Oryctolagus cuniculus: one gene and its partner. Each later gene encodes a partner of the first gene's protein in a complex. Links are inferred from orthologs where the notes say so. Each region holds a gene or a part of one and is shown in the gene's direction. Other genes may lie near its edges.

Region 1 (6,182 bases):
CACTCCACTTCTGATCCAGTTTCCTGATAATGCATCCTGAGAGGCAGTGGATGATGGCCCAGTAATTGCATTCCTGTTGCAAGGAGACAGCAGGGTGGGAGACCTGGCTGGAGTTTCTGGCTCCTGGTTTCTGCCTGGCCCAGCACTGTCTGTTGGGCGCATTTGGGGAATCAACTGGTGGATGGAAAATCAATCCATCTCTGTTTCTGTCTCTCTCTACCTTTCAGGTAGACGAAAATAAATAACAAAATTTTCTTTAAAAAATATATCTGTACATTGAAAACTTTGGTGGAACTCACCCTTAATAGAACCCAGACCTGGGGTTTTTTATTACCATTTCGTCTCTTCTGCCAATTTTGGCATTTTATGTTTTTCTTAAATATACTCATTTTATGAGGGTCTCCATGTACTCATGTTGTGATTCAGTCAAACTTCCTAGAAGTGTATTATAAAAGGAGTCTCCCTTTGGAAGGTATTTGAATATTCACAGTGCCTTGTGGCCAATTATCTCTCACTACCTAAGTGTGTTCTCTTCCTGAGTCTTAGGTAGCAAGAATTCAGTAAATAAAATTCATTTGGCTCAGATCCTAGGTGTCAGAGAGTTCAGGATTTCATCTGCAATTAATGTCTGTTCAGTTCTTGAATTCTGATGACTGGAGTTCAAGTGACAAGGGATACCTATAGTAAACATACATAAAAAAAAATCCTGAGTATCAGAAACCTTAAAGTTACTCATGCTGCTGATGGTGACTTCTTGTCTAGGTATTATCATATAGAAACAATATTTGGGTTCCAAGGCAAGCTCATGAGGCCAAGGACTTAATTTTGTTCATAGCAGCATCCCCAGTGCCCAGAACAGTGCCTAACGCATAGGAAATGTTATGTTGATATTTGTTTGCATGAATAAATGAATGAGAAGACAATTTTTAAACAATGGAAACCAGCAAAAGTGTCTGGGACACTTTAAAAGCTATTTCCCAGAGCAGGCCTTTAGCCTGGCTATTAAGAAGCCAATTGAGTTGCGTGGTGTCCCACATCAGAGTACCTGGGTTCAAGTACTGGCCTCTGGTTCCTGACTCCAGCTTCCTGCTAATGCAGACCCTGGGAGGCAACAGTGATGGCTCAAATGATTGGATCCCTGAGTTCCTGGCTTTGACTAGCCTCTGTGGGCATTTGGGGAATGTACCGACATGGAGTCCTCTTGCGTGTTTGTTCTCTCTCTCTCTCTCTGCCTCTCAAATAATAAACAGATTTTTTAAAAGAAGATATGTTCCTCATTTGTTACTTATCTTTTGACTTTACGGTGTTTTCTCAATATTTTAGTATGAAATTTCAAACATACAGTAAAGTTGAGAGAATTAGAGTGAATGTCTGTCTACCTATCCACTAGATTCTCCCATTAACATTTTACCATACTTGCTTTATCACATGTTTATTTCTGTTTATAGTCCTTTTTTCTGAAGATTTATTCATTTATTTAAAAGAGTGACAGAGAAAGGGAGGGGAGACAGAGAGAGAGAGATCCTCTGTTCTCTGGTTTACTCCCCAAATGGCCACTACAGCCAAGGCTGGACCAGGCCAAAGCCAGGAGCCTAGAACTCCATCCAGGTCTCCCAAGTGGGTGGCAGGGGCCCAAATACTTGGCCACCATCTTCTGCCTTCCAAGGTGCATTAGCAGAGATCTGGATCAGAAGTAGAACAGTTGGGACTTGAACTGGCACTCTGATATGCAGTGCCAACAAGCAGCATCTTAACCTGCTATGCCACATCACTGGCCACTGTTTATAGTATTTTTTTGATACTGTAGATATTTTTAAAATTTACTAAGGCACATGTACCCGCTTCTTCCCCTTTATGACTTCTGGGTTTTGTCTCACTGAGAATAGGCCTTACCCATTCTTACGGTGATAGATTTTGTTCCTAGGTTTTCTAATATTTTTATGATTTCTATTGGGGAATTAAATTTTTTTTACCCTTCTGAAATTTATTGAGTGAAAGAAGTAAGATAAACAACTTTATTTTCTTGGGAGTCAACACATTTTTTTTCCTGTAAAGGACCAAGTAGTAAATATTTTAGTGAATGATGTCTTTGCAAACATACAAGTATATCTGTGCATCAGATTCCCAGAACTAGGATTGTGAATCAGTGTACAGATTTAATTTTGCCGGCCATTGCCAAAGTCCCCTCTGTAAGGATTGTTCTACTTTTATTTCTACAGCAGTACAAATATGCTTATTTCTCATACCACCTTACCAGTGGAATTTGTTGTCAAACATTTGGACTTTGCAAATCTCTTGGGTTAAAAATGCTGTAACACAAATGAAGAATTCCAGATGATATATGCAGATACTTCCCCACCCAAGAAGTAGAGAAATTTTACGGGAGAGAAACCCAGCAGACAACTACCAAACCGGATCAAAGTGAACCTCACCAGTGATAAGTCATGTTGATACCATGTACTCCCTGCTAGGACACAGTCAGAAGGGTATCACACTTCTCTTGTGTGCTTCTCCAAACAAAAGCCCGTAATCCAAAGTCCAATCATACGAACACATTAGACAAAACCAATTTGAGGGGCATTCTACAGGCATTAGGGGGAAAAAAGCAGACATTTGGTATAGCAATTAAGACACCCACATCCTGCATGGGGGTTCCAGGTTCAGTTTGGGGAATATGGTGGTAAGCCAAGCAGATGTGGTCCCCTCATTTCCTGGAACTCACAGGCTAGAAACTTTTGGTCTCATCAAAGAAATGCTCCTGGCTTTGGCCTGGTCCAGGCTTGGCTGTAAACCAACTTTTTTTTTTTTTTTTTTTTTTTTTTTTTTAAGAAAAAGATCTATTCGTTTGAAAGGCAGAGTGAGCCAGAGAGAGATCTTACATGCACTGGTTCACTCCCAAAATGCTTTCAACAACCAGTTCTGAACCAGGCTGAAGCCAGGAACCTGAAACTCTATCCGGGTCTCCCACATGGGTGGTTGGGGCCCAGGGCCATCCTCCACTGCTTTCCCAGTGCATTATCCGGGAGCTGGATTCAACACTGATACGGGATGCCATTGTTGCAAGCAGTAGCTTAACCCAGTGTGCCACAATACCAGCCCCCTGAACCAACTAGGAGGTAATTATTTTACGATTATTGCAGTAGGAGAGAATTTAACAAAGGTGCTGCTGATGCTACTAGGTGACTGAAACCAAGGAGCAGGATGGCACAGCATACTGTGGGGGCAGGGAGAGAGGTGGGCAGGGACCAACCCTGTCAGCCTTGCAGGACCTTAGTGAGCATGTGGGTGTTTTATGAAGGCTAAGAGGGAGCCCCTGAAGGGAGCGATGTGATTGGGTTTGATTGGCTTTGCCTTAGAGAACACACAGGGACTTGGGGATTTGGAATGTAAAGCCTGAACTAGGGGTGGCCTGGGTGGATGTGAGGAAGCCAGGGGAGGGCTTTTGCACTGTCAGAGGTGGGAGTGAGGGCCTCAGTGACGTGAGTTGCCAGGACAGGGTCGCACCTGCCTCGTGCGCCTTTCAGAACAGGCGGCCCTCTAATGCCTCTCCGTCCTCCCTCCCCAGAGGTGGTCGGGGTGACAGGACTGGGCGCTATGGAGCCACTGACCGCTCACAGGATGATGGTGGGGAGAACCGCAGCCGAGACCACGACTACCGGGACATGGACTACCGCTCGTACCCTCGCGAGTACGGCGGCCAGGAGGGCAAGCACGACTACGACGACTCGTCTGAGGAGCAGAGTGCAGAGGTGAGGGCCGGCCGGGCCTGGGGCAGGGCTGCCACAGGGCCTTGGCATCTGGCTGCAGCACTTTGTGCGGGCAGCTCTCTGCTCCCGTGCCTTCAGACTCTGCTCAGTGGCTTTGCCTCACCCACAGGGTCTCTGCCCACTCCCTTCTCTGAGGACTCCTCTCCCAAGTAGGGTCTCCCTGGCTTCCACATGCTTGGCTCTGTACTTCCGAGGGCCCCTGGCCACTACCTCTTTCCCTTCTTCCTTGTTCAGTTTGGGCCCAGGGGTCATTGCAAGGCCGGTACTGCCTGCTCCCAGCCAGTTGGGGATACTTGAAGAGCTTCTTTGATGAGACCCGGCGTGTGGGGTTGGGAGGACAACTGGGAGATGGGATGTCACGAAACCGAGTAGCTCTGGGAGGCCAGTGGTGGGTACTCCCAGGGTCGACAGGACGCCCACACAGAAAGAAAGGACCCTTGCGGGAGCTAGTACCCTATTGGATAGTTGCCGTTAGCCTGACGGGCGAGGCGTGAGGCTCACCGTCAGGGAGCACCCAACCAGAGGTGAAGAAATGGCCTTGTGTTAGGGAAGCCCGTTTTAGGGGAGTGGTCAGGGTTGTGGCCTAAGCAAGCTGGCAGATCTCCCTGTCCAGCAGGATGGGAAGGATACGCTTGCAAGCCCAGCCCTGGGGGTTGGGTGGGGCAGGGTGTGAGCCCTTGGAGGGGTTCAGCGTAAAGACCCCCATGGTGGGGTCCAGAAGCAGAGCACAGCCAGGCTTCCCCTGTGGCGGCCATTGAGCTGTGCCTGCACGCCTGCAGGGGCCAAGTGGTCCCCGGGCAGACCTCTCGACAAGTGTGGCAATAAAGCACCCAGTTATCTGGCTCTGGCCCACTTGTGGGTAGGAGGGGCATAGCCCCTGGCCTGGCCTGCTTTAGTCCTGCAATGGATGCTTTGGGCAATAGCTAGGAACCTGGTAACCACACCCTGATCTGAAGGAGGCTGGTGGTGATAGGGCTGGCTAGGGGTGAGGAGCAGGAGCCAAGGGAGTGTGTCCATGACCCTCATGCCTTCACCAGCCCCTGCGGGCTGGCTCTAACCCGGATCTGAAGCTGTTCCTACACCCCCAGCTTGGTTGCAGGGCCCAGGCCGGGAATCCTAGGAAACTTGTGGCCTTCAGTGGCACAGGAAACCATTGTGCACATGCCCGCTGAGTTGGCGAGGGAGGGGGGGGAGAAATCCAGGGTAGCGTCTGGTTGCCAACCCCAGCTGATCCACCCGAAGGAGGTTCAAGTTGTGTCTTAGCACCTTCCTTGGGGACTTCCTCCCCTTATGCCAATACTGTCATTCCTGTAGGCAGCTCCCCAAAAGTATCCCATGGAGAATTTCTAGCCCCAGAAGCATCGCAGGGCAGGGCCCTCCCACTCTGCCTGCCTGAGCCTTTAGCCGGAGCCCGCGCACCCCTGGCTTTCAGAGCCTGCCTGCCTCAGAGAGCCCGTGGCCAGCCCCTAGGCCCGCCCAGACTGACTGCCCGTCTGGTGTCTCTCGTCTCATTCTGTCGGCCAGGATTCCTACGAGGCCTCCCCGGGCTCCGAGACTCAGCGTAGGCGGCGGCGGCGGCACAGGCACAGCCCCACCGGCCCGCCAGGCTTCCCCCGAGACGGCGACTATCGGGACCAGGACTATCGGACCGAGCAAGGGGAGGAGGAGGAGGAGGAGGAGGATGAGGAGGAGGAGGAGAAGGCCAGTAACATCGTCATGCTGAGGATGCTGCCACAGGCAGCCACTGAGGATGACGTACGTGCCCCCCGTGGCCCCGGGCAGGCGGCAAAGCAGGAGGCCATGCTGGGTCTCCTCCAGGGCCCTTAATTTCTCCCCACCCCTCCCTCACCCCCAACCTCAGCACCTTTCATTCCTTCTCCCCCACCGGCTCCTGTCCCCAGCACTGATGCATCCCATGTGGGCAGGCCCCGTCAGCTCCTTGTCTTGAAGGAACAAGTGTCGTGTCAGCTAGGCCGGCTTGGCCCAGGGGCAGCGGCCGTGGGTTGTTCTGTTGATGATGCCTGTTGGGAGGACAAGGGCATTGTCCCTGCGCATTCCATTGACTTCCATCCATTCTGCATGTGTGGATCAAGGGCCAGATGCTCACCAGGCCCTGTGCTGGGTGTCGCTGGGTACAGAGATGATGCCTGGGCCCTGCAACCGTGGGAGTGGTGAGGGGGCATGAGATTTCCTGAAATTTCATTCTCATTTCTCTTGCTCTCCCTTTTTGTCAGCAGCATCAACACTCATCACTGGCCTGGCCACAGAGCCTTGGGCAGCTGCTCAAGGCCTCCACATCTGCTTTCCTGTGTGGCCTTCTCTCCCTTCCGTTTTTCTCCTGTTTCCTTCTCCTACAAACTTCTCAGAATGGGCTGCATTAAAACCCTGAGAAGGCTACTAGATTCACCTGCTGAC
Region 2 (6,182 bases), on another chromosome or scaffold:
TATACTTCAGAATAACATGGGCGCTTTATCTAGCTCTCTGTTCTCAGTATTTTCTCACTATAGCTTCAGTTTAGGTGGTGCACAGCCTCTGACATTAGAGAGGTATAGAGAGGTGTTGGTGGTATGTCTGCTTCTTTTATGATTTGATCTCACAAGTCAGTTCACCTGTATAGAGTGATATAGATATAAATGTGGATATATAGTCTGTGATACATGCATAGCATATAAAGCTAATTGCTATGGGGCACATAATGGATATGGGTAGGATATTACTTTGAAATTAGTGCAGAGGACGTTTAGTTGATCCTGTAATTGGAAAAACATAACCTGCCTCCCTTTAGTAGCTTAGATCTTTTAAGATGTTACCTTTAATTTAAAACATCATAATATGCAATATAAATTCATAGTTAGGTAGTAGAGTGATGGATCTTTATTTGAATAGCTATATAATAAAACGAATTTCTAAATTTCTTCAGTTGATTTTCAGAAGTTTAAGTTTGCAAAAGAAGAATGTGGACTTTGATTTTAAGAACATTGTAGGAGTCCTCATTTGTACTTCAGAAAATAAAGATGGATTATTATTTCAGTTGATTGTTTTTAAATGTGGCAATTGCTTATATTAGTTAATCAAAGGTAATTTTCTTCCATTTTGATAACATAGACTAAATTTGGCCGAAGGTGGACCAAAATTGCAAAGTTAATTGGAAGCCGCACTGTTTTACAAGTGAAGAGTTATGCCAGACAATACTTTAAAAATAAGGTAAGCAGAATATAAATATCCTTGTTATTAATGATACATTTAGAATGAGCAAATTAATAAGCAGAAATGTTTCTTTAATTTAGGCATTAAAGTTTTATTGTTTAAAGTTTTTATACGGAAAGGGTTTGATATCCGTAAACTACTATATGAATATTTATTTAAACTTTAGAGCATGTCTTTATTAATAGTGTTATTAATGTCATACAGCAAAATAGAATTAGAACTTTGGGAACATTAATGCTAACATGATTTTTGAAGTCTGTTAAGTAACAATGAAATTCTTATAGTGTTGAAAAATTGAAAATTTTAATAAATTACAGGATTCACAAAAGTGCAGTTTTTTCTAGTTTCTTATTTTTTCAGTATCAACCATGCGGTTGATGACAAGAGCCTTGGGTGATTACTGACATCATAAATAAGAGTGTCAATTGTTAAATCAACAACGGGAGTCACTGTGCACCTACTCCCCATGTAGGATCTCTGTCCTTAATGTGCTGTACTATGTGAATTAATGGTAAAACTACTACTCAAACAGTACTCTATACTTGGTGTGTCTGTGTGGGTGCAGTCTGTTGAAATCTTTACTTAGTATATACTAAGTTGATCTTATGTATAAAGGTAATTGAAAATGAATTTTGATGAAGAATGGGATGGGACAGGAAGTGGATGGTTGCAGGTGGAAGGGAGGTTGGAGGGAAAAGCTGCTATAATTCAGAAGTTGTACTTTGGAAATTTATATTTATTAAATAGAAGTTGAAAAAAAAAGACTTACGAGAGGTCTTCCATCCACTGTCAAACTCCCCAGCTGGCCGCAACCGCCAGGGCTAGGCCAGGCTGAAGATAGGAGCTAGGAGCTTCTTTCAGGTTTCCAACCTGGATGGCAGCGACCCAAACACTTGAGTCATCTTCTGCTGCTTTTCACAGGCCAGTAGCAGGGAGCTGGATTGAAAGTAAAGCAGCTGGGACACAAACTCGCGCCCAAATGGGAGTCCAGCGTTGCAGGAGGTAGCTTTACCCCATGTATCGTACCACCAGCCCCAACTATGTGATTTTGATAGTTGGAATTTTTAAATATATTCTGCTCTAAGAACATAATTATATAAAATTTGAAAATATTATAAGTGAAATTTGATGTTTTCTTTCAGTGTGGCTAGTAGACTGTACCCTGTATACAAGATTTCTCTTAGTGTTAACTGGCATGGGCAGAAAGTGATAGAATATATTCGTTGTACATAAATCATCCACTTCCTCTTAAACAAAAGTACTGTTGGGGCAGCTTGCTAAGGTTGAGGTATTAAGAAGAATAAAGCTTAATGTGGTGGTTATTCTACCTGCAAGCTTTTCAAACTGCAATATTTAGTTTATCTTGGAGTGTCAGTTTTACTGAAAGACTGTGGTAGAAAGATACATTTCAATATTAGAATGATTAGTATGTTATAAAATCTAATCCAAAATATCTGAATTTTTAAGATTAAAAACGGGACCAAATAAATAGCAAGGTTGCTAGAGAATATTTCAGCTTGTATGTCCAAATCTTGTTTTCCTTCCTGCTATTCTTTTTTTTTTTCTACGTAGTAAGCCAATTAACACCAAATATTTAATCCTAGAATGCTGACGTGATATTAGGTCTAGAAATAGTCTTTCTGAAAGTTGTTATATCCCTTGGGTATAGCAATCATTTACAAAATTTTTCAAAAACTTTCTATGTAAGGATTTTTTATTTCAAGTCATATTTAATCATTGCCTTTTTTTTTTTTTTAAGATTTTTTTACTTATTAAGAGTTATAGAGAGAGAGTGAGAGAGATCTTCCATCTGCTGGTTCACTCCCCAGATGGCTGCAACTGCCAGAGCTGGGCCAGGCCAAAGCCAGGAGCCAGGATCTACATCCAGGTCTCTCACATGGGTAGCAGGGGCCCAAACACTTGGGTCATCTGCTGCTGCTTTTCCTAGACCATTCACAAATTGCTGGATCGGAAGTAGAGCAGCCGGCACTCGAACCTGCGTGCTGTGGGATATGCTGTGTTGCAGATGGCAGCTTTACCTGCTACACCACAGTGCCAGTACCTACTCATTGACTTTTATTATCATTCTTGTGTTGTATTATCAGATAGCTATGTCTGTATAGCTGATATGGAAAGTAATTGCATGACTTAAAATGTAAGTGCTATAATATTGGAGCTGCATTAAATGAACGTACAAAAAACTGTTTTTTTGTTACTGTATCTAAATGAAAGATAGGCCGGCACCTTGGCTCAATAGGCTAACCTCCACCTGTGGTGTCAGCACACTGGGTTCCAGTTCCGGTTGGGGCACCAGATTCTGTCCCGGTTGTCCCTCTTCCAGTCCAGCTCTCTGCTGTGGCCCGGGAGTGCAGTGGAGGATGGCCCAAGTCCTTGGGCACTGCACCGGCATGGGAGAACAACAGGAGAAGCACCTGGCTCCTGGCTTCGGATCAGCGCAGTGCGCCGGCCGCAGCGGCCATTGTGGGGTGAACCAATGGAAAAGGAAGACCTTTCTCTCTCTCTCTCTCTCTCTCTCTCTCTCTCACTGTCCACCCTGCCTGTCAAAAAAAAAATAAATAAAATAAATGACAGATGGTTTTAATTTACTAAGTAGGATAAGTGAGATAAATGTGATAGATTCTTTTAAGAAAAAGCTTTAAAGAAACAGTCAGCTGAGATATTAGACATTTAAGAAAAGAGCTTTTATAAATATTTTAATATCTTGTAGAACTTCTTAGTATGACAGTTACAGGTTGATTGTGATTGGTCTAAGCCAGACACGTATTTTAAACTTAATATTGACAAATAAATGGTAGTTCTATATAGACCATGGTTATTTGATTAATAGAAATCACCACATTATGAATTAATCATATATCTAAGGAAATTTAAAATGTGATCTTTTACATTAAAACTACAGTTATAAATCCAAGAGAAGCAGAATAAAAGTATAATGTATCATTAACATGCACTCACTTGAATTATATTATTGTATATTATTGTATTTATTGTGTCAGTGATTAAATTTTAAAATCTTAATATTATGGAGGTTTTATTCTGATTTTTTTTAATAAGGTAAAATGGGGTCCGGAGAAAGAAACACCAAATCAGAAAAGTAGCAGTGATCTTCAAGTTAAAAGTGAAGACAAAGGGACAGAGGCATGGATACCATCATGTTTAAGGGGACATGCTGATCCCAACTTGAATGCTGTAAAAATTGAAAAATTGTCTGATGATGAAGAAGTAGACATCACAGACGAGGTGGATGAATTCACTTCTGAAGCACCCCAGAAGAATTCTAACAGTGGTCTCTTATTAGACATTATTCCTAGTAGTAGTAGTATGCATGAAACCAATCAAGGAGAATGCATTGCATCTGATAGCCAGGAAGACCCCTTTTTTAAATCTTCCGGGGAATATCTTAAGAATCTAAAGCAAGATGAAATGGAAACACTTTCAGGCTCACAGATTACATTACAGACTGACAAACCGAGCAACAATGACAAAAAATCAGTTGAATTAAAAGATGAGAAATGTAATAAACCAATTCAGAACTATAACGGGCATGATGGAAATGGACTGATAGATGATGCGAGTCAGTGGCCTTCTCTTGAGACTTGTGAAAATAAAGATTTGAGTGACAATGAAATGCTTTTTCATTCTTCTTGTCATGTTGTGGAAGAAAGCCACGAGGAAGAAGAGCTTAAGCCACCAGAACAAGAAGTAGAAATAGATAGAAATACCATTCAAGAAGAAGAAAAACAAGCAATTCCTGAGTTTTTTGAGGGGCGTCAAGCTAAAACACCAGAACGCTATTTGAAAATTAGAAATTACATTTTGGATCAGTGGTAAGAAAAAATTACATTTTAGATGCCTTTTTAAAAACCTGATACTCTTTAAGTGTTTTAGTTAGGCCTATGCAGAATTTAGAATTTTGGTGGCAATAAGAGTGTTTTCACATAACAGCATTTCAGTAGGAAAAATTTAACTTTCTCACAGTGAAACTTTTTTGAAAGCTTTGGTCATGTATAGCTGTCACAATACCATCTGTCTGTTCATCTGAGTGTTTGTGCTTGGAAAGAAAAGGGATGAATAACTGCTTCAAGAAGCAATTCCTTGGGACAGAAATAATGCAGATGTAGAACACTACTGTACTGGGAATAGGAGAGAATTTTTCTTTTTGGGATTTATCATGTACTTTAAGTGCAAAGAAGGAAAGATTTGGTGACAGAGGATGGTATCATTAAATGTGGCCTCTTTGCAGAAACTCCACCTGAACAGCTGTCTTAAATGCCTTCAGCTTTAAACTTGTGGTGGAATATGCTAATAATTTCTTCATCCAGCTTCATCAAGGTCCAGGAATTTTCTAATATGTGAAATTTACCCTCTAAATTGTTAATACATTTTACTTGAACTATTTAGTGGGCCTAGGGAGCAAACCAAAAAACTTCTTACCTCGTTAACCTGATAAAAGTAATTTGAAGTAATCTTGACATCTTAATTAAGCCATCATTAAACACTCATAATTGCTACTACTAGTTCATGAACTGTTGAATCATATAGGGCCATTTTTAGAGAGGGCTTCCCAGTTCCTTGAGTAGGGATTCTGCTTTGTCCCTTGTTTTTCTCTTTTGTTCTGTCTTCCTCTCCTTTGCAGTAACTTTCTGCTATAGCTTTGGAAGGTTACATAAAGGAAACTTAATAATGTGCCAAATCAATAGCCTTCATTTTGCCCACATAATATTAAGTCATTAGGTTTTTAAAGGTAGCAGTATTCTAAAAGGAGGATTTTTGTTCTTGTTCTTGATACATGGTTATCTTGCAGATGCTTGACATGCCAAAACAACTTCTGGGTAAGGAGGCAGCATAGTAAAGAATGCTGACAAGGAACAACTGTCATTTACATGGTACTTAGCTGCTTAAAGAAAGACTTGCTCTCTGTTCTTATTTGCTGTATAGGCCTCACAGCAGTCCTCTGACATAGTGAAAGGGACTTAACCAGCCACTGACTCCTGAAAGACTTCATTTCAAGTCTTGACTATAATCAAGTAAGGCAGAATAATTTGCATAGATACTGCAAATTATATGGCAGTAGTTTCCTAAACTATTTGTTTTAGTTGATGAAACCAATAGATACTGCTATTTAAACATGATGATTTAGGAAAATGGTGTGAAGGCTGAAAATAAATGTTTTTTTGTTTGTTTGTTTTGTTTTGTTTTGTTAGCCAGAGTGGACAGTGAGAGAGAGAGACAGAGAGAAAGGTCTTCCTTTGCCGTTGGTTCACCCTCCAATGGCCGCCACGGCTGGCACACTACAGCTGGAGCACCGTGCTGATCCGAAGCCAGGAGCCAGGTGCTTCTCCTGGTCTCCCATGCGGGTGCAGGGCCCAAGGACTTGGGCCATCCTCCACTGCCTTCC

The links. Proteins that work in one complex are often made in the same cells at the same time.
Region 2: RBM10 (region 1) and MYSM1 share a complex: the UniProt entries of both Homo sapiens proteins name them as parts of the large chromatin remodeling complex. The link is inferred for Oryctolagus cuniculus from reciprocal best matches to the Homo sapiens genes RBM10 and MYSM1.

The regions. Positions count from the first base shown.
Region 1 is NC_091453.1:32,700,271-32,706,452, forward strand, and holds part of RBM10 (RNA-binding protein 10), read left to right. Parts: intron 1-3,565; coding exon 3,566-3,749; intron 3,750-5,291; coding exon 5,292-5,522; intron 5,523-6,182. UniProt on the Homo sapiens protein: Binds to ssRNA containing the consensus sequence 5'-AGGUAA-3'. May be involved in post-transcriptional processing, most probably in mRNA splicing. Binds to RNA homopolymers, with a preference for poly(G) and poly(U) and little for poly(A).
Region 2 is NC_091438.1:114,363,830-114,370,011, forward strand, and holds part of MYSM1 (deubiquitinase MYSM1), read left to right. Parts: intron 1-661; coding exon 662-760; intron 761-3,838; coding exon 3,839-4,611; intron 4,612-6,182. UniProt on the Homo sapiens protein: Metalloprotease with deubiquitinase activity that plays important regulator roles in hematopoietic stem cell function, blood cell production and immune response.